Notamacropus eugenii: one gene and its partners. The protein of the gene in region 3 interacts with the protein of the main gene of each other region in a pairwise test. Links are inferred from orthologs where the notes say so. Each region holds a gene or a part of one and is shown on either strand. Other genes may lie near its edges.

The links.
Region 1: the proteins of HSD17B14 (region 3) and CA8 interact in binary tests that used the Homo sapiens proteins (3 or more experiments, as listed by UniProt). The two-hybrid records come from large-scale screens. The link is inferred for Notamacropus eugenii from reciprocal best matches to the Homo sapiens genes HSD17B14 and CA8.
Region 2: the proteins of HSD17B14 (region 3) and SNAPC3 interact in binary tests that used the Homo sapiens proteins (3 or more experiments, as listed by UniProt). The two-hybrid records come from large-scale screens. The link is inferred for Notamacropus eugenii from reciprocal best matches to the Homo sapiens genes HSD17B14 and SNAPC3.
Region 4: the proteins of HSD17B14 (region 3) and MPG interact in binary tests that used the Homo sapiens proteins (3 or more experiments, as listed by UniProt). The two-hybrid records come from large-scale screens. The link is inferred for Notamacropus eugenii from reciprocal best matches to the Homo sapiens genes HSD17B14 and MPG.

What each region holds. Positions count from the first base shown.
Region 1 is NC_092875.1:279,396,056-279,403,516, forward strand, and holds the start of CA8 (carbonic anhydrase-related protein), read right to left. Parts: upstream 3,007-7,461; 5' UTR 2,630-3,006; coding exon 2,527-2,629; intron 557-2,526; coding exon 365-556; intron 1-364. UniProt on the Homo sapiens protein: Does not have a carbonic anhydrase catalytic activity.
Region 2 is NC_092872.1:27,901,043-27,908,308, forward strand, and holds the start of SNAPC3 (snRNA-activating protein complex subunit 3), read right to left. Parts: upstream 3,013-7,266; 5' UTR 1,849-3,012; coding exon 1,568-1,848; intron 337-1,567; coding exon 259-336; intron 1-258.
Region 3 is NC_092876.1:12,640,932-12,648,247, reverse strand, and holds the start of HSD17B14 (L-fucose dehydrogenase), read right to left. Parts: upstream 3,016-7,316; 5' UTR 2,782-3,015; coding exon 2,694-2,781; intron 2,086-2,693; exon of another isoform or gene 2,001-2,085; coding exon of another isoform or gene 1,970-2,000; intron 1,939-1,969; exon of another isoform or gene 364-1,938; coding exon of another isoform or gene 363-363; intron 1-362. Other genes in the region: PLEKHA4 (pleckstrin homology domain-containing family A member 4), read right to left, coding at 3,424-3,620, 3,760-3,872, 4,474-4,544, 4,711-4,875, 5,087-5,187, 5,259-5,379, 5,520-5,618, 5,845-5,982 and 3 more. UniProt on the Homo sapiens protein: Catalyzes the NAD(+)-dependent oxidation of L-fucose, yielding L-fucono-1,5-lactone, which rapidly converts spontaneously to L-fucone-1,4-lactone. Can also act on D-arabinose and L-galactose, with lower catalytic efficiency. Does not use NADPH.
Region 4 is NC_092872.1:55,219,174-55,226,102, forward strand, and holds the start of MPG (DNA-3-methyladenine glycosylase), read right to left. Parts: upstream 3,020-6,929; 5' UTR 2,914-3,019; coding exon 2,890-2,913; intron 1-2,889. UniProt on the Homo sapiens protein: Hydrolysis of the deoxyribose N-glycosidic bond to excise 3-methyladenine, and 7-methylguanine from the damaged DNA polymer formed by alkylation lesions.

The DNA of each region.
Region 1 (7,461 bases), on a different chromosome or scaffold from region 3:
TCTTTAAAAAGATTCCAGGAAAAAAAATCATAGAGATAGAGATATGTGTGTGTATGTGTGTGTGTATATATATATATATACATATATATATACATATATATGTATATATATGCATATACATACGCACATATATTTGTACCTATTTGTGTATATATGTGTGTTCACAACCTTGTTTAATAATAGTCTTTGAGGAAAAGGAAATATAATGTCTAAGATAAATCAGTATATTTCCAGAAAATATAGAAATGTTACCCTATCTACCTTATTATCATAGAAGCTTTTCAATTCATATTTTGTAGGTCATAATAACAACAATTTAATTTACTGAATGATGAGAGCAGAGGAAATGGAAGTTTTTAAATACCTGATTTTGATTTCAGAACAATCTGAATCGTGTGTCCATCATTAGTGACTTCACAATCACGACACACCACATAATTTGGAGATAGACGAACATCCAGCAGTGAGGGATCATATCTGGCTTCTCTTGAATTCAAGTTGATAGGAGATTGATATTCTCCATTAGCATCAGGAAATACCAAGCCCCATTCAACTCCTGAGAATAAAATAAATAATAAACTTGAAATAAAGTGGTCTTTTTTTTTGTAGGTTATACATATAAAAAGTGTGAAACAAAAAATCAAAGTTATGTTTTCTGTTTTATGACCCTAACACTTCTTCCACCAATAAGATACAACTTGTTTTATGATCAATTACATGGGTAAAAGAAATAAATACATTTCATTAGATTTTGAAGCAATATTTGGCTTTCTGAAAAAGCTACAGTGCAAAGATTCCATGTTACCCAAATCATTCATTAAAAACCACAAAACCTCATAACATTTAATTGATTTATAGCACAATACAATACTTTTATTTTTACCATGTGGATATAATTATGTGATTTGTGGCTTGAAGGCAAACTTATCTTAAAATGACAACAAACACTAAACTATCACAAACCACTGGTAATAGCAACAGTGCTCAATGTGGAACAAATAGAACTGGCAAGTGTGGTGCTAAAAACACTTTTGAAGATAAATGGAAAATGATAACTGATATTAGTGAGTTTATATATAACACATATATGTATATGTGGTATCTATGTGTGCAAATGTGAAAAATGTATCACACAAATTCATTATATGCTTTTTTAAACTGACATAATTATAGATTTTGTAAGTTTGTGAATACAAGCATTTACATATCAGTAATCATTCAAAATAATATTAGCAGACCTAAATGTATAAAAAGAAACTTCTGAGAAAGCCTTCCTGCATTTCAGAGACTTTCAGTTTGAAACTGACATATAGAAAGAGCTGATTGTACTCATAATGCATTGCTTATAAAGATAATGTGAAATTTCACTAATGTAACATTGAAAATGTCCAGTAAAAGTTGCTCTAGAACAGTTTTAAATAACTCTGAAACCATTAATTTTGTTACATTCCAGTTTGGTTTTATGGTCCTAACTTTTAAAAGGATATAAATCAGCAACTCCTACTTGTAGAGTAATCTGGGGCAGAGAGAGGTTAAGTAACTTGCCTTGGGTTACACAGCCTGAATGAATACGTCTAAGAAAGAATTTGAACAGGTCTTTCTGACTCCTTGGCCAGTCCCGCTCTTTATCCATGATGCCTCACTGGCTCTCAAGTCAAGATGATTGGTCTAAATTAAAGACTTTGGTGAAACAGGGCACCATCAACACTCTGTATCATTAGATATCCCTCACTAGCTATGCTATCTTCTAGCAAAAACTTGAGAACTTAGTTCAAAAAGAACAGCAGCTGTTGAAGTAAATTAGACTAACTACAGAATGTGTTCGTGTGTTGCCTCCCCGGTTAGATTTCTATACAGATCAAGTTTATATAGTGATAATGGGAGGGGGCGGGGTGGTACGGGAAGGGACTTGTGGGGGTGCAGGCAAGCATAGCCAAATAATGAAGTATCACTTTTTGAGGTGCAGGAGTCAATGGGGAGGAGGGGAGAATTCAGGAAACCAGAAAAGGAAGAAGATCAAAAACTCGTCTCGAAGGTGGAAAAGCTTTTCTGCCTCCAACAAATCCTCAAAAATTATATTCCGTCGCAGCTACAATGAAAATCAGGCCACAGGTTTGAGGTGGGTCCCTGCTGGAAGGGCAGTAGGGACTCCGGCGAGGTGCTAGGGACAGGCAGCCCAGCTGGATGGGCGCTCTCAGAGGCTTCCCTCAGGGACCAAGGGCAAGGTCTCAGGTCTCAGCCCGGAGCAAGCGACAGCAGGAGGCGGAGGAGCGGAGCTGCTGCCTCGGCGCTCCCCGCCGCTCTCCCGCACCCGTCAGTCTCCGCTAGGCGCTGCCAGGCTGCCCAGTGCCAGCTGTCCTCGCCACCGCCAGCAGCCCCGCCGACCCCCACCCCACCGCGCCCTCCTGCCTAAAAGACCCCAGGGCCACACGGAGGGTGAACAGCGCCCGAACCGCCACAGCCTGGACATTTGTCAGATTTGTTCCTAACCATGATAACCCAACTCCGTGCAGGGCTTTCTATTACCTTCCTCGTAACCCCACTCCACACCCTCCTCCTCTTCCTCTTCATCATCTTCCTCCTTTCCCGTGTAGGGTTCCGAATCTTCAATGAAACTCAAGTCAGCCATGGGCAGCTTGTCCGCACCTTCCTCTCTCCGGGCTGGCGGTCCTGACTTTCGAGAAAGCCTGTTGTTCTCTGCTGACCAGTGAGGCAGCACGAACTTCCCAGCTCTGAATGTGTGTGTGTGCGTGTGTGCGTGTGTGCGTGTGTGTGTGTGTGTGTGTGTGTGTGTTCCCTTGCGTTGTACTCCTGAGTGTGAGTGCGCGCGTTCGTGTGTCTGTGTGTAGCTGCCAGAGCCCGAGGTTTGTTGTGCAGACTGTGAGAGCGTGCGTCTAAAGCCCTACTTTATATAACTTAGAACCATAAAGCTAGACTAGAGAAACTGCGAAGTACAATTCACTGGGGGTGGAGCATGTATTCCAAAAGAGGTAAGTCTTAATAAGTCTCTTTGCCCTGGGAGTGGAAAGATTATCAGGAAACATCCCATGGGGGTGCTAGTACAGTACTGACTGAAATGAAAGAACACTCTAATGCTTTGGAGGGGGTTTTTTTCCTTATTTTTTATTAGAAATTCTTCCCTCACCATAAAGACTCTTGGCTCACTGCCCATGCACACATCTCCCATAACAGTTAAACTTCTGGCCAACCCTGAGACCAGCTAACAGGTACCGTAGCACTTCAGTGACTTATTAATAGGTGCTTGATAATGTTTATTGACTAACTAATGGAGAAATATCAATAATAGAATCATAGATCTTGAACTGATAGGTCCCTACCTAAGGGTCACCTAGTGCTCAGTTATAGAACTACTAGATTTTGCAAGTTTAGATGGCTTGCCCAAGGTAATACATTGTAACAAAATCAGAATCTGAACCCAGTTCCTGTCACTCCAGAACCAGTCTTTGTCTCCTACCATACTGCCTCCTACTTCTCAGAAATAATCCCTGAAGAAAGAGCGCAGGAAGGAATAAGTAAATAGTCTAATACATCAGAAACTGCAGTTGAACCTTTCTTTGGAATATCAAAGAAATAGAACAGGGTTACCCTCAGACATTCACCAAAACCCCCATCATCTCTAGGAGAGAAAAGGGTAAACAAGAGAGCTTTATAACTGCATAAAAAGCAATTTGGAATAGAAGGTATTTTAAAAATATTTGTTAAAATGAATTGTTTCCCCCTCCAGGATTTTCATTATCTGGCGCTTCATTTTCATATGCAGAGTAGAAATTTTGGAAACAAAGTATATCCAAGGACTTTATGGATTGTGAAAACAATTTAATGACTTTCAAAAAATAAATTAAACTGGAAAATGGGTCATAATTTAGGGAAATATTCTTCATGGATAGCCCTGGTGCAAAGACATGAGTGATAGAATTATATTTCATTTTATTTTCAGAGGCTGTGACCGTGCTACAGTCAGGACTTGCTATGTACACAGCTCCATAATCACCTAGTGAAATCATGTGAATAATGAAATGTACACATTGCGTAACTAACAGGAACTTTCATGTTCCACAGTAGTGACATTATTACCTCTTAAAATCTGCTTCCTACGCCAGCATTAATGACTTCAGGCCTCTTCTTTCTCCCTTAAGGGTCCTATTCAACAATCCTTATTCTGGCTAGCTACATTTTCATAAGAGAGTGTGCAGGAATAACAACTTCAGATTTCTACGGGTAAGAATTTCAGTGGTCTTATGTAAAACACCGAGTATCCTTATGAACTCTTAAGCTTTGATCATTCAGGGTTTGGCTTATGGGATTTCAGCCTCCCTACTATCTTCTGCTACCCACTTGCAGGCCACTCAATTAGCTATTAGGAAATTCTTTAGTGAATGGGTAAGATGAATAGGAAGCAAAATCCAAACCAGTACATTCTGCCCTTTTTAGATGTTCTAGCCAAGGTGTTAATAAAATAGATGAATATTGACCTTATTAACTTTAGGCTTAAGTTTCAGTCATGAGTACCATCCCTTTCTCACCTTAACAAAGAGATGGTAGAGTTAACCACATAACTCAAAAGGCTGAACAACAGAAAAATATCTGGACTGAAAATTCAGGTTCTTACTGTGGGTTTTTAATAGCTTTGTACACTCCTTAAACCTTAGTTTCTTAAAATCTGGCAGTAACAAAACAAATCTGTATAATAAGGTGGTTAGAAGTAACTAATAAAATGTCTGTAAAAATTTTTGCAGACATAAAGTTCAATCTAATAATTTCCCTCAGATTCCAATAAATTACACATTTTCATTGTTCAATCCCATTATGTTGAATTTTATAGAGCTGGGAACTGAACCCCATAATTTTATTGGTATAGGATAAAGGTGTCAAACTCCCAGCAAGATGAACCTGGAAAGAAGCTGACAAAATGACTGGGAGAACTAGATTAAAATGTAATTGAGACTTGTTTAACAAAATTAATAAAAAATACAATAGAGCTTATGGATCATTGGGTTTCTAAGTTCATATGTAATCTACAGAGATCTGATTCTTTTTGAATTTGACACTAATGGTATAGGAAACTCCCGGATGAGGAAATTCCCTCCACAAAGTCAGGTTAGTACTTTCCTGCATCTTATGGTCTTAAAAAATTGCAGAGGTCAATGAGAGGTTAATTGATTTACTTATGGTCACAAAGTCCAGAAAGCCTTTATTTATAACATTTGATAAGCACCTCACCATAGAGAATATGGATATTCACACTGACATCTTGTTAAGAGGACAAAAACTTAAGTAGTTTCCCATGACTTCCAGATTCAAATACAAAACCCTCTGATCGTTTTTAAAGACCTTCATAACCAAGACTCTTCTTGCCTGTCCAGTCTTCTTACATTTTACTTTATTTCACTTACCCTTGGGTCCAACCTCCTTTCTGTTCCTCCAGCAAAACACTCCATCTCCTGACTCCATTTATTTTCACTGGCTATCCCCAATAATTCTCTCTTGGAGTTCATCTCTGTCTTCCCACTTGTCTGGCTTCCTTCAATTCCTAGCTAAAATTGCCCTTTCTACCAGGAATCTTTCCCATCCCCCTTAATGCTAGTGCCTTATGTATATATAGATATAGATATATAGATATAATGTGTGTGTATAAAATTTATCCCTTAGATATTTTATTCATACACAAGTGTTTGCATGTTGTCTTCCCCCTTAGAATGTGAGCTCCTTGAGAACAGGGAATGTTTTTTGCCTTTCTTCATATCCCCAATAACACAACAGTGGATTCATCCTTCATTGCCAAAGAAGACCATGTCATCAGAGAAATAATGACATGACTCGTACTTGACTTTGAGTGAGGGAGGGCTGTACAGGTCACCAGCCTCACTTCTCCTCAAGAGCTGTCTGAATCCAGTGACCAGATATTCATCAAGATGACTGGAGATGACAAAGGATGAGGCAATTGGTGTTAAGTGCCTTGTCCAAGGTCACACAGCTAGTGAGTATCAAGTGTCTGAGGTGACATTTGAACTCAGGTCCTTCCGACTCCTGCACTAGTGCTCTATCCACTGCACCACCTAGCTGCTAGTGCATAATAAATGCTTTTAGACTCAGATCCCTCCTACTTCTCAGTGATAAATATTGTCCCAAGATCAATTAGTTACTTTGTAACCATTTCTTAGAGCTTCATAGGGTATGGGTTTCAGGGACAGAAGTTATATTTAGTTGTCTAGGAGTCTGCTCATACGGACTTTTGTTGTGCAGTCATTTCAGTGGTGACTACCTCTTTGGGACCCCATTTGGGGTTTTCTTGGCAAAGATACTTGAGTGGTTTTCCATTTTCTTCTCCAGCTCATTTTACAGATGAGAAAACTGAGGCAAACAGGGTCAACTGATTTGCCCAGGATCACACAGCTAGTAACCGTCTGAGGCAAAATTTGAACTCACAAAGATGAGTCTTCCTAACTCCAGGTTTGGCACTCTATCCACTGCTCCGTTGTTAAATTTTCAGTGTGAGCATTTCTGCCTCAGAAATTAGCAAAAGGATAGAAAGCAGAGCTTGAGATACTGTGTTTTTCTCTAGACTTAAGAAAGTAAAAATGGTTAATAGTACAGATTATACTTACAACTGTGTCATGGGTACAGGTTTCTCAGAGAGCCAGTTGTTAAATCTTTACCAGCACTTTCTCTGGGACCTCCTTTGTACCTATAAAAGAGAGCAGGGGTTCCACTCTTTCTTCTTTTTAGCTTTTTCTCCTTTTTCTTGTGCGTTTCTTTCAGGGTGAAGCAGAGGAAAGGGAGTTTCATCCCCATCCAAAGGAGTTGTCCATTAGATTGTGATCTCCTTGAGATCAGGGACTGTCTTTTGCCTCTTTTTGTTTCCCCAGTGCTCAGGACAGTGCTTGGCAAATAGTAGGTATTTAATAAATGTTAATTAATCGATTGATTAATGGCTGATTTTTATCAGAAGCATATAGTGGTTGAGCTGCATGTGCTTGCCTCAGTCATACAAAGAAGAGCTCCTTAACCTCAGGGTTCCTAGCTGTTGTTTACCTCTCTGTTTCCCTTTCTGAACACCTGATCCTAGAGAGAACCAAGAGTTCCTGCCCCAAGGGATGGCAACCACCTCTGGGTAATAGTGAAGAATTGAGTCCATCTTCCTCTGTCTAACCTTTGTTAGTCATTAATAGCTACTGTAAGACATAAGTTATGAGAGGTGGTACAGTGGATTATAGTGCCAGAAGTTTCTGAGTTCAAATCTGGCCTCAGACACTCGCTAAATGTGTGACCTTAGGCAAGACTCTGTTTGTCTCAGTCTCCTCATCTACAAAATGAGTGGAAAAGAAAATAGCAAAACATTCCAATATCTTTGCCAAGAAACCCCAAGTACCATCACAACAAGTCAGACATGACTGAAATGACTGAACAAGAAGGCAGAAGCATATGGTAGAGTCAGACACA
Region 2 (7,266 bases), on a different chromosome or scaffold from region 3:
TATGCTTAGAAACCTTATCATGCAAATATTTTGTATTACAGTACTGTGTGTATTAAGCTAATTATTTTTAGTTTTCAACATTTACTTCCATAAGTTTTTAATTTTCCCCCTCCCTCCCCAGAGAGCCTGCAATCTGATATAGACTTCACATGTACATTCCTATTAAACATTTTCACATTAGTCTTATTGAAGTACTGTGTGTATTAAGTAACTTTACTACATAATAAATGAACTTTTAAAAATCAAAGTCTACTATACCCCAAAGTCACTAGGCTGGTGTCTTCAGGAATGACTTCTGGATCATCCTCCTCTTCACAGTACTTCAACTTATCCAGGCTATAGATGGAAATGCAATAACTTAAAATTTTTTTTAACCAATGAGCTAACCATCCTGGTCTATTCAGGTGAAATTAAAAAGTAAGGTTAAAGAATTGTGATATCACAATAGACAACTTCATTCAATGAAATATTTTTGGTACAGTTACTGTGAAATGAACACTAGATGTAACTGGTAGGCTTAACATTCTATCCATTAAACAAACCTTCCTTAAGAAGATATTAGCTGATAACAATAACAGCTAATATCTATACAGCATTAGTACCCTATGCCAGAAACTGTGCTAACTAAGCACTTCACAAGTGTTATCTGATCCTCACGACAACCCAGGGAGAGGGGCGCTATTATTATCCCTATTTTACAGTTGAAGAAACTGAGGCAAACACAGCCTTGCCCAGGGTCACACTGCTGCCAAATGTCTGAGGCCAAATTTGAACACGACTATTTCTAGTTTTCCAATACCGTGAGTAGCAATATGAGATCAAGTCTTTTTCTTTCTCAGAAAGGTTCTTTTCTTGCAGGAACGTGAGGGAAACTGACCAAAGATACCATCAGTAAGAAGATACTAAGCAGCATTTCCACCACAAAGAAACTCTCAAAACTGGTATCTGTGATACAATGTTGCAGATTGTAGGATTCACAGAGATGACAAGAATCATGGCCAGAAGGGAACTTCAATCCAACCTCCTCATTTTAACAGAGGCAATGAGGCCCAGAGAGGTGAAAGACTTGCCCAGGGTCACCTAGGAACTGAGATCTAAACCCAGATCCACTGATTTGTCTCCCCCATTATTCGGGATCTTAATCCTTGAAGGCAGCCTCTTTCTGTAACCCCAGCGCCGAGGACAATTGCCCGGCACATAGCAGGCACTAACTAAAGGTTGACCGATCTGATTCCAATTCCAGTGCTCTTTCCATTACATTTCCGCCAGCTCCTCCCTCCCGGACTTGTCCATCATCCAAAGGTTTCCTTTATCAGCTTTTGCTACTGTTTCATGATAAGCACCTTCCTCGATAACAAAGGCAAGATTGGTCTCTGAGGTCTCTTTGAAGGATACCCCCCCCCTTTCCTTCTTCCCCACCTCTAGTTCACTCCCATCCCCCCACTGTCCTCAATGGCCTATTTCATTTACAAGCGTCCGAGGACGGTCCTAAAGAGGGGGGTGGGAAGAGGGCCTGGGCAGAGCAGGAGTTCAGACGGGGACCCTCCTGCCCGCCCTGAGCACTCACCCACACACGAGGCTCAGCTCGGCCGCCGTCTCCAGGCTGCAGCCCAGGTCTTCGGCCACGGCCGCATCTTCCTCGCCGGCTCCGGCCCCGTCCAGGCTGCTGGGCGCAGGCGGCTCCAGGGAGAAGTCACGGACCCCGAGAAGCCTCTCCTTCCACAGGTCCCCCACGGCCCGCACGAGGAAGGGTTTCGTGTTCAGCTCCGGTATCTCGTATTCTGGGAACCTGAAGCCGCCCCCACCGCTGGACGAGCAGCCGCCGTCGCCGACACCTTCCGCAGCCATGTCCGCTCTCCTCGGCTCCTTGTTCCGCAAAAGCCGCGTTCCCAACCCCTCCCCCCTCCCGCCGCCACGCCCACCTCATCCGAGGGCGCAAGGCATGGTGGGATTTGTAGTCTAGAGCAGCGCCCTCCCCTCTCCAGCACTGAGAGCTAACCGCTCAGCCGGCGGAGGAGAAGAACGAGGCACTACATTTCCCAGAAAACTCTGCTGGCCCGCCCTGCCCCGCCCCGTCAGTCCGCCGCGGAGAAAACCTAGGGAGCGTGTCCTTGGATTGCATTGTTCTCTGCATTGGGAGGAGCTGTCGGGTGGGAGCGGTTCTCAGGGTGGGCCCCGCGGCCCGCTGGGGGAATTGCGCTGGCCGACTTTGATCCCGGAAAATGCCCTCGGCTTTCCCTGTGTCATCTCTCCCCAGCTTCCCTACCCACAGACCTCTTCTTCTTGTGAAGCCTTCTAGATGTTAAAAAAATCCTCTGGGGCGGGGTCACGTTGTGTGCGTCCACCCTCGGCAGCCACCGGCCGGCCGGCTTCTAGGGAAGGCCCAGGGGACGGGGCCGGTTCCTGACTCCCCAGCTGACATCTAAGATCTAGACTTGGGAGGGTCACCCGGGCCAACCCCCTCATTGAACAGGGGATGCAGCTGCGGTCTAGAGATGTTAGCTGACTTTCCAAGGTCACAGAGTTCAGATTTAGGCTATGGGACTCCAAAGTCACCTCTGCACCACTCTCGCATCTTAGAAATAGCACCTAGTTAGCAAGAATTACAATAATTTCTCTTACACTCCCAAGATCAAGTTTCTGTCCCCAAGAGACAGGGTGGGACATCAAAACACACACAGGTCCTGCCCCGCCCCCCGCCTCCCAGAAGGCATATTTCAGCTGTTTGCCTAGATGCAAAAATTCCTTGTTACATCTCTTTCTCTGGGCTTCAGTTTCCCCATTTCTCATGAGAGGGTTGTTTTGTTGGCAGTGGTGGTCCTGCGTTCTGGAAGAGGACCAATGACGTCAGAAGGGTGTTGTCTTGACTCGCGAATGAATTGGATTTAAGTGAGGCAGAGCTGTCTTCTCCAGAGTCACTGGAGTACATAGTGGTAAGATATGTCATGACCCCGCACACGGATGGGAAACACAGTTTAAAAGAAGAGAAGTGAAAAATAAGAATATTAAAAGAAAAAATATGCCTACTATGAAAGCAAAACAAGCGAATTTCAAATACAGAATGTATAGGGACAGTCTAAGGATCATAGGTCTCAAAATCAATCAAGCAACATTTATTAAGTGCTTACTATGTTCCAGTCACTGATAAGCTCTGGGGATACAAAAAGAGGAAAAAGACAATCTCTCTCCTCAAGGAGTTTACAATTTGATGGGGAAGACAACTTGCAAACAAATAGATACAAGGTAAGCTATATATAGGATAAATAGGAAATAATTAAAAGAGGGAAAGCACTGGCTTCCTGAAGAAGAGGGATTTTAGTTGAGACTGAAAAAGGAAGCCAGGGAGGTCAGGAGTTGGAATGGAGGAGGGAGAACATTTCAGGCAGGAGGGTCAGTCAGGGAGACTGCTCAGAGCAGAGAGACGACAGGCAGGAGGCCATTGTGCCTGGATCAAAGAATATGTGTCAGGGAGTAAGGTGTAAGAAGACTGGAGTGGAAAGAGGAGGCTAGGTTATAAAGGACTTTAAATGCCAAATAGAACATTTTGTTTTTGTTCTTGGAGGCAATAGGAAGCCATGGGAGTTTATTGAGTAAGGTGGTGATGTGAGCAGACCTATGTTTTAGGAAATACACTTTGGTATCTGAAGGAACAATGGATCGGAATGATGAGAGAGTTGAGGCAGGCAGGCCCACCAACAGGCTATTTCTGAGTAGGGAGGGATGAGGTCCTGCATCACAATGAGCAGTGGCAGAGGAGAAAAGGATGCATATTTGAGAGATGTTGCAAAGGTAACATCAACAGACTTTAACAAAAGATTGGCTATGGGGGATGAGATGAATCCAGGATGACTTCTAGATTGCAAGCCTAAGGGACTGAGAGGATGGCATTGCTTTCAACAGTAATAGGGAAGGGGTAGCCACATGGAAGATTTGGGGGAAAGCTAATGAGTTCTGTTTTGGCCATGCTGAGGTTAAGATGTCTGTTGCAAATCCAGTTCAAGATGTCTGAAAGGCAATTGGAGATAGGAGATTGGAGGTCAGCAGAGAGATGGGAACAGGAAAGGTGGATGTGAGGGTCATCAGCAAAGAGATGTTAATTAAATCCATCGGAGCTGAGGAGATCATCAGTCAAACTAAAAGAGAGAGAGAAGACGTCCCAGAGCTGAGCAATGAAGGACACACGTGGATCACAGGCATGACTTGGATGAAAGGGAGAAGGGGGCATCTTCTGGCTGAAAGGAAAAAAGCAGGAGAAGAAATATACGACCAGACAAAAGCAGAAGAGAGGAGCTAATAAAGCCCTAAGAGAAAAGGGCTAACAAACGAGAAGAGGTTAGGGTAGTGGTGGGAGGAGAGCAGTAGGAACGTCTCGTAGTTACTGTATTGCTTTGAGCAGCACCAGGTGTTCTCTGAACTTGGACAAGTATCCATGTTCTGGTCATGGAGCCCTGCTGTTAATTAAACTTGTTTCATTGTTGCTCTTATCCCTCATTGCCAGGGCTACAATTCACTGCATGGTCTTTGGTGTGATACTGAGATCTCCCAACGCTGCCTCCCCAGCTAGGAGTGGAGCCTGACACATGTATCTAATCTGCCTCCTTGCTTGCAAGCCATTTTCCTAACTTTGAAATTAAATTTCTGTTTAATTCTTGACACTCTTGAATCCAGCCTGCTCTGTTGGGCTCTGGCCATCAGCAAATTAGAGGTCACTTGGATCCGGCTGACACTGTAAAGGAACTACCAAAGGAAAAAAAATACTCCTGCACTCGATGAATTCACAGGACAAAGCCATTAAACTTTTGAGGAACAGTTAGTACCTATATTTCACAAATTATTCTCAAAAATTGAGAAAGAAAAAACCCTACCAGAATCCTTTTATGAGACCAACATAGTCTTAATATCTAAGCTGGGGACAGATAAAACACAGAAAGAAAAGTATGAGCCGATATTAAAGAACATTGATTCAAAAATTTTAAACAAAATTCTTTTAAACAGATTACAATGATTTATCCAAGAAATCATTCATTATGATCAAGTAGAAATTTCAACCAGGTGTGTAGATTATTTAACATTAGGAAAACAATTAATTTAGTTAATCATATTAAAAACCATCTAAAGCCACATGATCATCTTAATAGATTCAGAAGAAGCCTCTGACAAAGTAAAACACCCTTTTATGTGAAAAACTCTACAAAGTATAGGCATATAGGGGTCTTTTTAAAATATCATTAAAAAATTTATCTAAACACAAAAGTTTCCATCATATCTAATGGGGATATACGAGAATCTTTTCCAATAAATACAGAAGTGAAGAAGGGATGCCCACTCTCCCCACTATTATATACTTCTAGAAATGCTGGCAGTAGCAAGAGAAAGTAAAGATAGGTGAGGAGAAGATAAAAGTATCCTTGCTCACTGATGATATTATGGTTTGCTGAGGTAAAACTCAGGGAATCAGTAAAGATACTAATTGAGACAATAGCTTCAGCAAATTTGTAGGTTACAAAATAAGTCCTCAAAAATCAACAGCATTTCCATAAAATAATAACAAAACACAAGAAGCAATAATAAAAAGGAAAAATCCCATTCTTAATAACTAAAAAACGCACAAAATATCTAAGGATCAACTTCCCAAAGCACACAAAAGACTTGTATAGATTCAGTTACAAAGCACTCCTTAAAGAATTAAAAAATAGCCTAAATAACTATAAGAATATTAAATACCTGTGTCTAGGCCATGCCAATATAATAAAAATGACAATTACTATCAAGATTAATTTGTACTTTTAATGTTAGTATCAATCAAATTATCAAGAGGCTATTTTACAGAGCTTGATAAAATAAAAAAATTCATTTGGAAAAACAAAAGATCTAGAATATTAAGGGAATGATGAAAAGTTCTAGAAGTAGCACTTCTAGACCTCAAATAATATGATGAAGCAGCAGTCATCAAAACTATTTGGTACTGACTAAAGAAGAGATCGTTGGAACAGACTAGATAAGGGAGATTCAGAAAAAATAGAATTTCAATAACACAGTATTTGATAAAATGGAAAACATAACTTATCTATAGAAAAACTCCCTATTTGATAAAAATTGCTGGGAAAATAGGAAAACACTATGGCAGAAATTAAGCTTAGACCAACAGCCCATACTACAACACATTTTAAATGGATACATGACCTTAACATAAAAGATCATGCTATTAAAAAATTAGAAAAGAAACAGATCATGTAACTTTTATAGCTATGGATAAAAGATGCATTCTTAATCAAACAAGAGATGGAACCAATTATAAAAGATAAAATGGATAGCTTTGATGACTTGAAACAGAAAAGTCTTAGAAGAACTGAGGTGGCTCTACAGAAAATCTAGTTAGCAGTAAAATGCAAAGCAGTACCAAGGTTCTAGCAAGCTGTAAAATGGAGTTAATCAGTGTCATTTTTTTCAAATTATTTTAATTATTGAATGTACAATTTTTATTATACAAATAAAGAGTTTTAAAACCTGAAAGAAAAGAAACTGAAAAGCCTCTGCGTAGAAAATATTAATGCATCTAGAATAAGAAGGGAATAGTTGAATGTAAAAAAAACTTCATATCAGATTTCTCTGATAAGAGTCTGGTATGAAAGATTTATAAATAATTAATATGTATATACATATATGTATATATGTATATTTTATGTATGTAGGTATGTATAGGGGAGCTAGGTGGCACAGTGGATAGAATGCCAAGCCTAGAGTCAAGAAGATTCATCTTCATGAGTTCAAATCTAGTCTCAGACACTTACTAGCTGTGTGGTCCTGGGCAAGTCACTTAACCCTATTTGCCTCATTTTCCTCAGCTGTAAAATGAGCTGAGGAAGGAAATGGCAAACCACTCTAGTATCTTTGCCAAGAGAACTCCAAATGGAGTCACAAAGAGTTGGACATGACTGAGAAATGACTGAACAACATATCTACGGTACATATTTGTGTGTAAGTGTATTAGCCATTTCCCAAAATATAATGAAGTGATATCAACAAATATTTCTCAAAAGAACTGCAAAATATTCATGACCACATGAAAAAAAATGCTCCAAATCATTCACAATAAGAGAAATGCAAATCAGCATAACTCTGAGGTTTCACCTCACACTCTGTAAATTGACAAAAATGACAAAAAAAAAATGGCAGTAAATGTTGGCAGGAGTAAGAGAAGATAGGCATAATAACGTTGTTGGTAGAGCTGTGAAATGGCACAACTACTTTGGAAAGCAATTTGGA
Region 3 (7,316 bases):
AGGGCACCCCCCCCAGAGGGAGTGTCTGGAACTGACACCTCTGGGACCATGTCCATGTGGGGATGGGGGGAGGAGACACTGGAAGGATTGTCCCCGCCCCCCCCCCCCCCAAGGTTGGAAAGGTGGTGGAGCCACCCCCAGTGCACTGTCCTCCAATCTTCTCAAGACTGGGAATGACACCCCTCCACTTTCTCCACCTGTCTCACCAAGCCCTGGGAAAAAATCAAGGCCAAAGGTAAGACTATCCACTTTATCATGACTCCAGTCTGTTTCAACCAATTCTTCTGGCCCTCCCCTGTAGGGTTATGGGCATCAAACGAGAAATTAAGGGACATCATGAGACATACCCCTCCCCTGCCTACTTGAGAATCTGTTTGAATACTCCTTCCTTATGCTCTCCTCTGGTCCTGCCCCCTTGTTGAGAAGGGACCTAATGGCGAAATCAGGGAGTCAATTTTCTCTAGTTAAAATTCCCTTTTCCCATCATTCATCAGACACCCCCTGCCATGTTCCCCCAGAAGTGTGGAAGACAGGCCAATTATTTGGGATCTGGGGACTCCTGGGCCAGCTTCTCATGCCACTCCAGCCTTTGCTCACTTTGAAGACCACAGTGGTCCCCCAGGCAGTCAATAGCTAATTATCCTGAAAGGGCCAGGGTCTCCCATTGCATCCTGGGCCATCTCCAGTCATCCTGATGAATATCAGGCCACTGGATCCAGATGGCTCAGGAGGAGAAAGTGAGGCTGATGACCTACACAACCCTCCCTCACTCAAACCAAAGTCAGCTGCAGGTCACATGATCATCTTGATGTCCTATTCCTCTTTCAGAATGAAGGACAATAGCTAATTAAGCCCAAGGCCTGGAGGGACTGCAACCATTAATTACTACTCAAGGCCTGACTCACTCCTTCCAGAAGCTTCTGAGACTTTGAAAACTAAATTAATCACCACTCCCTCATAAGCTCTCCCCAATCTAGAAAAATCTTTCACTTAGTATGTTGAAGAAAGGAGAAGACAGGCTTTGGGAGTCCTAACCCAGTCCTTAGGACCTAACCCCAGGCCTGCTGCCTATTTTTCAAAAAAATTAGACTTGGTGCTTGCTGTGGGCCATTCTAACTGAAGTTGCCTCTAAACTTACACTTGGCCAGCCCCTGGAAGTTCTGACTCCCCATGGAATTCAGAGCATCTTGGAAGCAGAGGGCCACAGGTGGCTGGCCAGCCACAGGCTCAGCAAATCTCAAGCATTGCTCTTGGTACCTCTGACTTAATTCTTTGAGTGTGCCACACACTCCAGAGCCTGAAGCAGTGTGGTACACAGAATAAGGGGTTAGGAGATTTAGGTATGAAATAGTCTCCACCACACCAGAGGTCAGATCCCTGCCCCCCTGGGACTGCTGCCCAGAAGGCAGAAAGCACCCACCAGAGCCCTAGAGCTTCAGGAAAATAAAAGAGTAAATGTTTGACAGCAAAAAAAAAAACTCCCCTTTCAAACCTCTGCTCCTTTTGTGCCTGTTTCATCCTTGTTTACTTAACCTCCTTCCAACTTTGGTTCAAGTCATCAACTTTCAGATGACTGCAAAGGCTATGTACCCTTTGAACAGGACTCAGTGAGGCTAGGACACCTCTACTCCCCTTGCCAGCAGGAAGCTGAGACCTTTGCCCCTTACCCCTAAAGAATTTGGGTGCCATTTGTTTGAGGGGGGAATGACAGGTTATAGGCTCTGGAAGCCCCCTTGAATTCTCCACAAATCTTTCCACTTGATCTGGGAGTCGCCTGAGACTACAAGCTTTCCATTATCACTGAGCCCAAATCTGTTACCCTTAACCTAGCCTAGCCCTTCATTGTCTGTTATCTCCAGGTAGCCTTCAGTTACTTCTCATTATTTTCTTGGTTTCTGGAGTCTGACCCCAATCCTATCAAGATCCTCCTTGGACCCCTCCTCCCATCACCCCACACTACTTGACCAACCTGGATGGTGCCCACAGTCTATAAGATCCATGAAGGCGCTCAGACTCAATCTTGCCTGCTGGCAACAGCGATACAGATGTTCAGATTCCTTAAGCAGCTAGACAACGCCGAGATTCCTTAAGAGTCCAGCCGATATGGTGGATCTTTAATAAACTGTTTTTCTACGTATGTGTAGAACCCATATAAGATTGCTTGCCATCTCGGGGAGGGAGAGGTAGGGAAGGGGAGAAAATCTAAGACTAACAGAAGTGATTGGATAAAACTGAAGACAAATAAATTAATTTTAAAAATAAACAGTTTTTCTTCGGTTGAAGGAAGGCTTGGGTCGAGAATTCGGGCAGGACCGGGCGTGTTCCTGTTTCGGAGTCCCAGCACCGTCAAACCTCAACACTGCTGGCCCCAGACCTTCCCGTCTTCCCGTGACAACTCGGGCAAAGAGCAGTTTCAGCCTTGGGCACAACGTCCCCAGGGACGTGGGCGGCTCTTTCCTATAGCCCTTCCCCTAAGGCTCCCACTGCAAGAATCCAAAGCGTCTCCTTTCCCTAAATCCTCCTTTGTCAATTCTCCTGGGGACCCACCCCAGGCTATTTTACCTAACCGTGCCACCTCTCCACCAAGTCCAAGTCGGGCTATCGGATCTAGGTCACCACCCCGAGTCTGAGAGCCCATCAGCCCGGATTATGGGGGCCCGGGGACATCCCCTTCTCCCCAAGTTCAGGCTCACCGAAGGCGCGCACGATGCCAGCGCCTATACCCCGAGCACCGCCGGTCACCAAGACCACCGGCACCTCGCTGCACGGACCCGCAGCCATGTCCAGCCCCCGGGACCACTGGCCTCAAGTCGGACGATTGACCTCACTCCGGTGTGTCCGGCCCTCAGCCACTGCCAGCGTCGAGGTTAGAGCTCGAGTCCGGGTTGGCACAGGGTTGGCCCAGCACCACTGGCCCCTTTTAGGTCCACCCACCTTCTTCCTTTCCTCCCTCCCCTTCCCTCTGCCCACAACCCTAGACCCCTCTTCTAATCGCTCCTACGAGGATGGATCGATGAGACCTTGGCCCAGGCCACAACCTGGGAGATCTAGGAGCCTCCTTCCACAACGCCGCCCAGGCTCCTGGAGGATAGCACCCTCCCTCCGTCCACGGGTTAGGGAAAGCCAAAAAACTACAATTCCCATCAGGTCCCGCGAGCAGAGGAGCAAGTCCGACGGCCGAAAACGCCCCACAGCTTACTGGGAGATGTAGTTCCGGCCTCCAAAAGACCGGAGAGGAGCTGGAAGGGCCCTCCCCCTGCTTCAGCCCCCAGAAGGAAAGGAGGAAGGAGCCAGGACTGAGTGATCACAAGCGAGTTTAATAAAGACTGACATGGAAAGGAGGGATGGAGGGAGGGACGGTCGTCCGAGACCCCCCAGGCCCCGCACGCTTCGCCTCCAACTGTCTGCAGCTCGGCCGCCGGCTCAGAAACTGGACTGGAGCAGCGTGACTCGCAGAGGCCACGCCCCCTCCTCTGGCGGAGCCGCCCCTCCCCACGTGGGGGCCCAGGAGGTGGGGCCTCCTCGGCCCCGCCCCGCGGGAGGCGGGGACCCTATGGGAGGTGAGCGAGGGGGCGGAGACAGCCTGGAAGTGGAGTCTGGAGGTTGTTCTGGGCTCCGGGCTGCGGAGAATCAGAATGGACCGGTCCACCCGCGGGCCCAGTATTTGAGCCGCCCGGCCTCGGGACCCAGGAGTCCGGAGCAAGGGCTCGATCTTCCAACTACAGTTCCCACGAGGCCCCCCTTTGCCCCGGTGCTGACCTGCGATAAACTTCTGCCAGTGCGAAGCCTCAGTCGCCAGGGCGTGGGACAGGCTGAGGACCCTTTCCCGATGTCCTTCTGGGGACGGCACGTAGGACCGGGAACTCCGAGAGCTGCAAACGCGGGGAGGGGGGGATCAGCGAGTTCGGTCGGCCAAGCTACAAGACGATTTAAAGGGGCCCGGGGATCGAGGGCACTGTCATTTAGAGTCCCCCTGTCCCCCAGGCTTAGAAGGGGAGTGTACCTTTATTTACACCCGTGCAGAGGAGTCAAGGGGATGGGAGGCGAAAGGGATGTGACCTACCTAGGATCGCATAGATTACAGCTAACTGGCCGTCAAAATTTGAACCCAGGCTTCCAATTCATACCTCCCAGCCTCTTGAGAGCCTGCGCTTGTTCATTCTGTCACCCCTGACACGCAGTAGGAACTTCATACATGCTGTATTATTGTATCACACCAGGCTGAAGTCAGCTGTGTTGCCTTTCCCCAGCAGAAAAGACTGGGAAAGTTGGGGCCAGAGCTTTCGTAGAGGGGATAGACTCTTAAATGTCATTGAGTCCAACATGCCTTCATTTCACTGATGGGGAAATTGAGGCTTAGGGAAGAGGAACATTACATAGCAACTGGAGGAAGAGATTAGAGTCTTGGGGCCAGGTTCTGTGACTTGGGTGCCAGGGGCCACTGTCCTCTTCCACTTAGCCCAAATTTCTTACCTGCTCCAGGACCCAGAACTCCGGACCCTCTGCTGAGGAGCTCCTGTATGGCCCATGGAATCCAGGACAGGCTAAGAGAAGAGATACCAGAATGTAAATTGCTGGATCGTTCCAAGGAATAGGGGCCATAGTTAGATGTCTAACTCCCAGCCTTGGTTCTATTGAGATGAGATTTGGCTCCTCTAGTTCTCCCCCTGCCCCTAGTCTAGCCTATTCCAAGCCAAACCCAAGACTCACCCCCTCTCTCTCTGACCCAGGCTCCAGCTGCCTTCCAACTGCTGAGGGAAGGGCTGTCTGGCCCCCTGGAGAGAGTGGCCGGAGCCTTAGCCTCCCCACCTCTTGGTGCCTACGCATTCTCTCCAGTTGCTCCTGTGCACTCATCCTGACCCGGGAGGCTGGAGCCTGCAGACAGAGGGCAGGAAAAGACAAGAACTCCTAAACTCCAGGGACCCTGGGGATTCAGGTCACAGGACAGAAGAGATTTGCAGTTTAGGTCCAATCCCCTCATTTTATAGACTAAGGCCCAGAGATAGCCAGGAACCAAAAGCAGCTGAGCCAATATCTCAGATCCTGATGTCTCTACAAAAGCCTGGAATCTTCCTGGGATTCCTACCTTAGGCCCAGTTGGTAATGGTGGGGATGGAGATGGGGCAGGGGATGGAGAACACTGGCCATCTGGACTTTGGGTCCGGGGAGAGCTGGGTGATCCAGGACCTGAGGGGAGTACAGAAGAAGGTTGTACTGGACATGAGGAAGGCTGGGGGACTCTAAAGGGCGTATCTCACCTGGTGGGGCACCAGGCCCATCTTCATCTCCATCCCCATGGGGATGACCCCAACTCCGATCCCCGAGTCCAGCCAGTGTGTCCTCTACCATCCATAGCTGCTGCTGGGCAGAGACCCTGGCCTGCAAGAGTTAAGCGTTGGGAGGTGGGCAGCGGAGAAGAGAAGCTCTGGCAGGAGGGGTGGGGCTTGAATAGATTTTGGGAAGGGGCTTGGAGCTGCTGAGGGAGAGGGAGTCGGCGGAGGCTTGGCATTTGGCAGTACCTGAGGAGGCCCAAGGTGCAGCAGATCCTCTAGGGTCTCCCGTAGAGTTCCCAGCTCTTGCTCCAGGCTGCTGTAGGTCTTCCAAACCCTCTCCCTTTCCTCCAAGGACAGGAAAAAAGGGAGATGAGCTCTGGTAAACTCCCCTCCCCCCACCTATTTCTCTGATTTGGCTCCTGGGACCCTCACCCAGGATGCTGAAGGCTAGGAATGCCAGAAACCCCTAAGAAGGCAGAGCTGGCCAGGGTCAGAAAGGACTACATTTCCCATGAGTGGTTAGTAGCCTCAAAGTAGGATGGTCTTTGTAGAGTTCAGTTGGGCCCCCTACCTGGGCCAGGTGGCACAGCGCAGCTCTGACGCCCACCAGGCGGTCCTGCAGCAGCCGTAGGCGAGACCAGGCTCTGGTCCCTGGCCCAGGCTCCCCCACAGCCCGGCGAGTCAGCTCCAGGGCTGCTTCCAGCCGTTCCTGTGGTGGAGGAAGGGAGGATGGTTAGAGGGGATACAGGAAGCCAACCTCCTAGTGCCTTTGTGCCCCCTTCCCCTTAGATTTCACATCCCCTGCCCCTTAGACTTCACCTCTCCTTGGCTACATTGGATGCCCTCCTGGACCCTAGCTCTCACTGTGCCCCTCACCATGCACCCTCATGCTCCTCAGTGCCCCCCTTGCACCTTGCTGCCCCTGCCCAGCCCTCAGCTCTCCCAGTGCCCGCCCCCCCCCCCCCCACCTTCTCCTCCTGGTTCTTGGCTGTCTCCTCCATCAGCCTCCTCCAGAGCCGGTCCTGCCCGCAAAGCTTAGTGAGGAGCGCCTGCGGGCCAAAAGGGGCCAGGCCTAGGTCAGAAGTGGCTCTCTCTTCTCAGAACCCGCCCGAGGAGGTGCAGGGCTCTGTCCCACCCGCACCTTGGCCACCTCCGCTGCTCAAGGCCCCCGGGACTCACGTCGGTATCCTCGCTTCGGTGCAGTGGGGAATCCAGCGCTGGGCCCAACGGCTGCGGGAGAGGGGGTTGCTGCAAAGGGAACCATATAAGTTCCTGCCTTTGGGACTCCACCGGCCAGCCTCTTCAGGGGGGAGCGGGAGGGGAGACACCTACCAGAGAGGCTGAGGAGCCCCGACTCCCTGGGGGTCTGGGGGCCAACTGCAGATATCCAGGCCCTGCCTGCGGAGACATTAGGAAAGTATGGGGGGTGGTGTTCAGAGTACCGTTCAGCACTGAGATTTTGAAGGCAAAGTCCCCAGGAGACACAGTGCCTAGTCCAAAGAAAGGGGCATCCTCCAGTTATTGGTTTCTACAGGGCAGGCAGGCTTACTAAGCACTTTTCTAGTCACAATTTGGGGAGTAAGGGAAGACAGGGTGGTCCCCAGGTATCTTCCTCCTTTCAAAGGTAAGAAAACTGAGATTCAGGGAGATGGCCACGGTCACTGTAACTGTGAGAGAACCTTGGGGGTGGAGGATGTAGGGGGAATGTCTGGGCCAGCTTCACAAGTTGAGAGAGCCTCAGGATTTCCTGACTCCACATCAAGGGAAGGGCTCTTTCTTCTCTCCAGAAGGCCCTACAACAGCCCTCACTCCCACTGAGGCAAACTAGCTACAATGCCCTAGAACTTCTGAAAGCCATGGGTGGTAAGAGAACACCATAAGCATCTATGGCCTTCCTCAGCTGGAGGCTCACAATGGCCTAAAATCTCCATAATGTCTTAATAAGAATGGTCATCAGCCAGCCAACTGGACTGACTGGCAGACTTTCCCCTTCCACATGTGACTACACAGGTCTGACCATGGACTACACAGGTTGTTAGTAGG
Region 4 (6,929 bases), on a different chromosome or scaffold from region 3:
TCAGAACGCAGATCATTAACAATAACAACTCAATTTGCTTCATTTTTGCAAAGCACTTATTTCACAACCACTACGTGAGGCAGTGAAGGTATTATTATTTCCTTTTAACAAAAAAGAAAATTGAGGCTCAGAGAGGTGAAATAAATGTCCATTTCAGAGTGTCAGAGTATTCTTCTGAAATTAAAAGCAGGAAAGGATCCTAGAACGAATACAGATTGTTGCAACACAGAATTTAATTCAATTCAAGCATGAAGTTCCAATTATGAACAATGCACTGTGCTAGGTACTAGAGATATAAAGACAGAAATAAAATAATCTGTACCATCACAGAGCTAATATTCATAAAATGTAAGAGCTGTAAGAAACCTTAGGAAAAAAAAGTTAGAACACAGAATCAAATATCAAAGCTAGTCTCTATCTTAGAGATTATTTAGATCAGCCCTTTCATTTTTACAAACTGAGACTCGGAGATTAAGTGATTTGCCTGCAGTCACACATCTAACAAGAGGAAAAACTAGGACTAGAACCCAGGTCTTGCAAGCCAACATGCTTTCCAGTATAACAAACTGTAAAGTACTCAAAGTCTCTCCCATACCCTCGACATCATCCTTCTTCACCTTTCCCATTAGTCAATGTTCAGAAAATAGAAAGTTATAAAAAGATGCCAAATCCAACTCAGTATTAATAACCTTTGGACAGACTAGACTTCATGTGTCCAGTGGCACCAGTAAAGTTTAGTGCACTCTCACAGGAAGCCCTGCAAGCTAGAGGTAAGTGTGCTGAGTGGATAACCAGACCAAATAATCTTCAGCAACAGTCTTCCAAATATAGGCCAGGCCACAGCTATGAACATGCAAATTTCACTAAGAGTTGCTCAAATCAGACTAATAAAAGAACAGAAGGTGGCTGTTCTTAGCCCACAATCTAATGGAAGCAGGATAAAGTACCTTACAGAGATTACATCCCATCTCTCTTATCTGCAACCTCCAATGGAAGCAGGAAATACTATAGTAGTGTAAAAAGTACCAGACTTTTGGGTTCACATCCTGGTTCCACCACTTATTAGTGTCACCCTGGCCTATTCATTTTTCTAAAGTGGCTCTCAGTTTCCCAATATGTAAAATGGGGATAAAATAATGAAACACCTTCTTTACATACTTGTTTGAATAAAAGTAGGCAAACGTTTTGTAAACATAAGGCACTATAGAAAGGTTCGCTATAATTACTTTTCTTCTACTAAAACTAGATCTCTAGGTGTCTCACCCTTCTCCAGACTCCTTTAGGAAGACAGAAGTTAAGGCCAGTGACACCAGAAACCACAATTTTGTTTCCACAAATAGGAGATGCCGTGGCCTCAAACACCAACACGAGTAGGCCTTTACCCTCAAAACAGGCTTAGCGACATTTCCAACATTGTCAGGACTCAAACCATAGTCAAATCCATCTGTAATCAAGTTCATTAAGCCAGAGGCTGTGCAGGGGCCTGAGTTCTGGACCTAATCAGCTCACCAGGTCACAATACACAGGTTACATTCCCTCTTTGGTCTTCCTTTATCCCATCTGTCCAATACCCATCCCAGTTCAAACACAGACAGCATTTTCCCCCAATACCTGTTTTATATAAAACACAACTGAAGCCTGTAATTGGCATTATTTTTAAGTGTATACTTATGTCTTTCTTTTCAAAGATCTCTTTTTTTTAAAAAATCACATTTTAGGGATATAGATTTATTAAGGGGAATTTCATCATTATCTAGTCATTATAGCAATGTGTATACTATCTATGTCACCAGGCTGTTGTGAAGAAAGCATTTGGTAAATTATAAAATGGTATACATGCGTAAGCTATAATAATAGTTTATTCTTCAGTCCAATAAAGTATACTCTCTCCCTCAACTGTACCTATTATTTTTATGTTATTTAAATCTGTAGAATACTTATCTATGTGAACATCTTATATCCCCACACTAGACTTTCCTCTTGTATGATAGGTACTTAATACACCATTATTGTAATCATTCTCATGTTCAACCAAAGAATTCGTAAAAAACTGACTGACTCCCTACTGGTCTATGGGCAGACACTGGTAATATTCCAGAGATGGGAGATCATCTCCAAGATCAGCTAGTCTAATTCCCTCATTTTTCAGAGGAGAAAGCTGAGGTGCAGAGAAGGGAAATGCCTTGAAAAGGTGCCTATTTGGCCAGCTTCAGCTCTGGGATCATGCCATGTCTCACTTAACGAAGGGCAAAGGCCCAATTCTTGGGCCTTCCTGTATGCAGGAGAGGGAACTTTAAAAAAAAAAGGTTAAAGATAATTTCTGGTCATCCTAAATCTGTACTTTGTTGCACTGATCGTACAAACCTTTGCCTGGTTGGCTGCTTGCCAGGTACATTCTGCACATATTCTATGTTATCTGAGCAGTGAGGCTGAACATCAGAACACTCTCCTGCTGGTTTTTATGTCATTTCTTTCTCTATAAAAACGTGTTGTGTGAAGTATCATCTAGGAACTCATCTTTCACATTCTGAACTTCTGTGATTCTAAAGTTAATACAAAATAGCTCCATCACTTACAAAAAAAAAAAATAGGAGCAAGAAGAGAAAACAAATAGTGCCAATGAACCCAACCCCAAAGCTAGAACACAGGAGACCTGGGTTCTAATGTAGACTCTTAATAACTGTTTAAACCTGAACAAGTCAAAATCCATCTTGGCTTGTTTTTCTTCACTCACAGAATGTGTGTTGGACTAAACAATCTCTTCCATGTTCAAATATATGATTTTCTGTCCAAAGTCACACAGGGGTTAAGGTTTCAATTTATGTGCTCTAACAAGCTATTCTGCGTGTTTCAGGAGCTTAGGCCAAGGCATTTCCTAACCCCACTCACCTGAGCCATCTTCAAAGCTGGCATTCCCTTCCTAAATATGCAGGCATGGGAAGATGATGGAAGAGCACCCAGGTCTAAGCAAGCCAAGGGCACAGGGTAATGCTGGAGAAGACAATGCAAGCATCCAACGGTGGGCCAGCACCTGTAGGAAAAACGGACACTGGAAAACTTAGGATAAAGGTCAGTAGGTTAACTGTGGGGTCACAGGAGGAGTTGTTATAACCACGTGTGGCCTCTAACCTCATCTATGAGAAATAGTAACAGTAATTCATCTTTCTATACCACCTTAAAGGTGACAAAACATTTCATTATTACACCACCACCACCAAAAGATTCAAGAATTATCCATCTCCATTTTCTAGAGCAGTGGTTCTTAATACGAAGTTTGCTGTTGGGGTTTCTCTTAATATATGAGGCTGGTGACCTGCCCAGCCCTCCCTCACTCAAAACAAAGTCACATCATCATTTCCCCAACGGCATGGTCTTCTTCTGCGTCCGACCAAGGACGAACACACGTCAACCTAACTGGATTCTTTGTAATCTTGGTATTTTAGCTTATGCATCTAACAACACTGTTCTGACAGGGGCTCTCCAGACATCACCACCCTGCCCAAGGACCCCAAGGCACACACACACACCTACAGGCACAACTGGCATTTCAAAGGGACGTGACGTGCCCACTGCTATACAGCTAAAAAAGCCGGGCACAGAAATGCCGAGTTTTGGCTCCAAGTCCCTTTGTAAACTGTATAATGCTGTCTGAATAATGCTGCCTGCTGATGGCGAGGCATTAGAGAGCGGAGAGAAAGGGGGGGCGGGATGACGCAGGAACCTGGGTGGGGGAGGGGAGGGGTGAAATTCAACGGAAGGAAAAAAAGGTTGGGGTACGAGGGTCTGACTCCTGGGGATGAACTCTGGGTGGGGAGGGGGTCGGTGAGAAAAGATAGGGAAGATTTAGGAGAATAGGCCACTGACGGAGGATGGCCCGGAGAGAAATGAAACGTTGCCGAGAGCCTGGGCCAGAGTTGGGGCGATAGAGGGAGGGATCTGCTGGGGGAGGGGCGTGCGGGAACGCGGGGATAGAGGCCTCGGACTTTGGGAGCGGAGGAAGGCTGCGGATGCAGGAAGGAGAAGGGAAGGGAAGAAGCATGGCGTCAGGCGGTAAGGGGAGAGACGCGATGGGAGGAGGGGGTGGCGGATGGGCAGATGAACGGAAGGGCCCGTCCTGGGGGAGAGGGCCACATGGCGGGGGAGGGGGGGGGGGCCTGGGTGCCGGAGGGAGAATCTTAGAGGCGGGCGTCTGGTCTCAAGGGGCTAGGCCTCTTACCCCGGAAAGAGGAGGAGGAGGAAGAGGAGAGGGAGGAGGTGTCCCCTACGGGGAATCCGGAGACGGAGACAGAGCAGGAGCCGGATCCGGATCTGGGCCTAGACGGGTCTCGAGATGCGCGGCCCACCCTCCTGCTCACGTCCCACCAATCGCTGCGCGACGTCGGATACGGGCGCCCTCCGGGGGCGGAGTCACGCCCCCAAGCCCCGCCCCCTCACGGACTAGGGGCGGGGGAGGGGGGAGGGAGGATACGGGCTGGCGCTTTAAGATGCTCTCCCTTAACCCCCTGAGGTAAGGCAGTGCTGGGGCGGGCCCTCCGGGTTAACGATTGGAAGAGAGCTAGGCCCCAAGGTCACGGGGCTGGTGAGTGACCAAGCCCGGACTTAGAATCCCCCTGGGGTGGGGAACCTGTGGCCTTCTGGGCCCTCGGGGGCGGCCTTTTGATGGAATCCAAGTTTTACCAAACAAATCCTTTTATTAAGGGGACTTGTTCTGTGAAGTCTGGGTTCAGTCAACGGGCCGTTCTTGAGGACCTCGAGGCCCACGTGACCTGTAGGCCGCAGGGTCCCCACCCTGTGCTGGACCTAAAGCTTCTGGAGGGCAGAGACTCACGTGTGTCCAAAGCAGTAAGTCCTGCTTGAGGAAAATGATAGTTATGACGAATCAAGACATATACAATGTATCTGTCTGTCTGCATCTATGTATCTCTACACACACAGGAAGGCGGGGCCCCCTGGGCCCAGGACAGTGATATATGTATATATGTCTGTATGTATATATATATACACATATACACATATATATGTGTGTGTATATATATACATATATATACTTATATATATAGATCACTGACATACATAGCAAGAGATGGATAGATTTGAATCAAGTTGAATTCCAAGCCCCAAAAGTCCAACACACCTTGGTATCAGTATCCACCTTACAGCAGAACCCTATGTTGAGTATTGGGACTGAGCAAATCACTTAACATCCTAGGCCTTTGTGTTTTTCCTCTGTAAAATAAGGGCTCTGGACTCAATGATTCCTAAGGTCTTTTTTTTTTTAAACCTCTGATATTCTATGGTTATTGTGACCTATGTGAAAGTTTCCAGTACATCTTTTGCTGAATTGTAAAAATTTTAATTATAACATATATATCTCTAAAGTGACATCTGTTTTGTCCATATTTTATAATAGTAGCTGTAAAATTAGGGATGCATTCATAGTCTCTTTCATAGAGCAGATACTCAAAAAATATTTATTGATTGAATGTTGATAGAAGGAAGGGGTTAAATATATGACTTTCCCACTAGCACGCTGGGAATGCTTTGCAAACTCCTGAGAATTTTGGAATTTGGGATTTCCCTATTTCTCTAGGGTCCTTAAAATGCCTCTCATGACCACTTAGCCTCTTACTCTATATTCATAGGTCCTGTTTCTATGCCATATTCCCTAACCCCTTTAATCTACATGTTGGTGAATGATATACTACATCCAGTAACAGCTCACAATAATCTAGGTAGTACAAGTATTATATACGGTATTACAAATGAGAAAAATGAGGTCCAGAGAGATTAACTGATCTGCCCATATTCATGATTAGTAAGTCTTTTTATGGAATTTGATCCCATCAAGTCTAATGCTCGTATATATATATATATATATATATATATATATATATACACACATATATACATACAGTGTGTATATGTGTATGTATATGTGTGTGTGTGTATGTGTGTGTAATATGTATGGGCAGCTAGGTGGTGCAGTAGATAAAGTACTGGGTTTGGAATCAAAGACTCCTCTTCATGAGTTCAAATTCTGACTCAGATGTTATAACTGTATGACCTTGGACAAGTCATCTAACACTGTTTGCTTCAGTTTCTCATCTGTAAAGTGAGCTGGAGAAGAAAGTGGCAAACCACTCCATTGTCTTTACCAAGAAAATCCCAAAGGGAGTCATGAAGAGTCAGACATGACTGAAACAATTGAACAAAAAATAGTTATGTATATGTCCATAAATGTATAGCTATATCTGTATAATCATGGTTGGACTGAACGAATATACTAAAAATTATAATACCAAAATTAATTTTCAGATTTAGTGGTATATCAGCCACATTACCTAGTTGATACTTTACAGGGCTAGACAAAATAATAGCAATTTATTTGGAAGAATAAAATGTCTAGAATTTCAAGGAAATGATGAAAAAAAGAAGTAAGAATGATGATGAAAATAATACTTGCAGATCTCAAGTTAGACTATAAAATAGTTATCATCAAAACTATTTAGTACTCGTTAAAAGGTAGATCAGTAGAAGAGATTAGATCAAGAAGAATAAGAAAGAATTTAAGTCAACCCAGTGTTAGATAAACCTGAGAATATAAATCGTTTGGGAAGAACTCCCTCTTTGACAATAATTTCTGGAAAGTTTGGCAGAAATTACATTTAGTCTGACATATATCATCATAACAATCTCAAAATGGTAATACATTCTAAATATGAAAGGTCAAGACATAAAAAAATTAGAAGAGAATGAGATCAGCTGCCTTTTACAGCTATGACTAGGGGAAGAGTTCTTTTAAAAAGTTTACTAATATCTTTGGTTTTTATACCACCTTCATTTCCTAACATCCCTCCCACCTCCACCCAAAGAGTCATCCTTTATAACAAAGAATAAAGAAGAAAGGGGGGAATAAGCCTTTCAGTGAA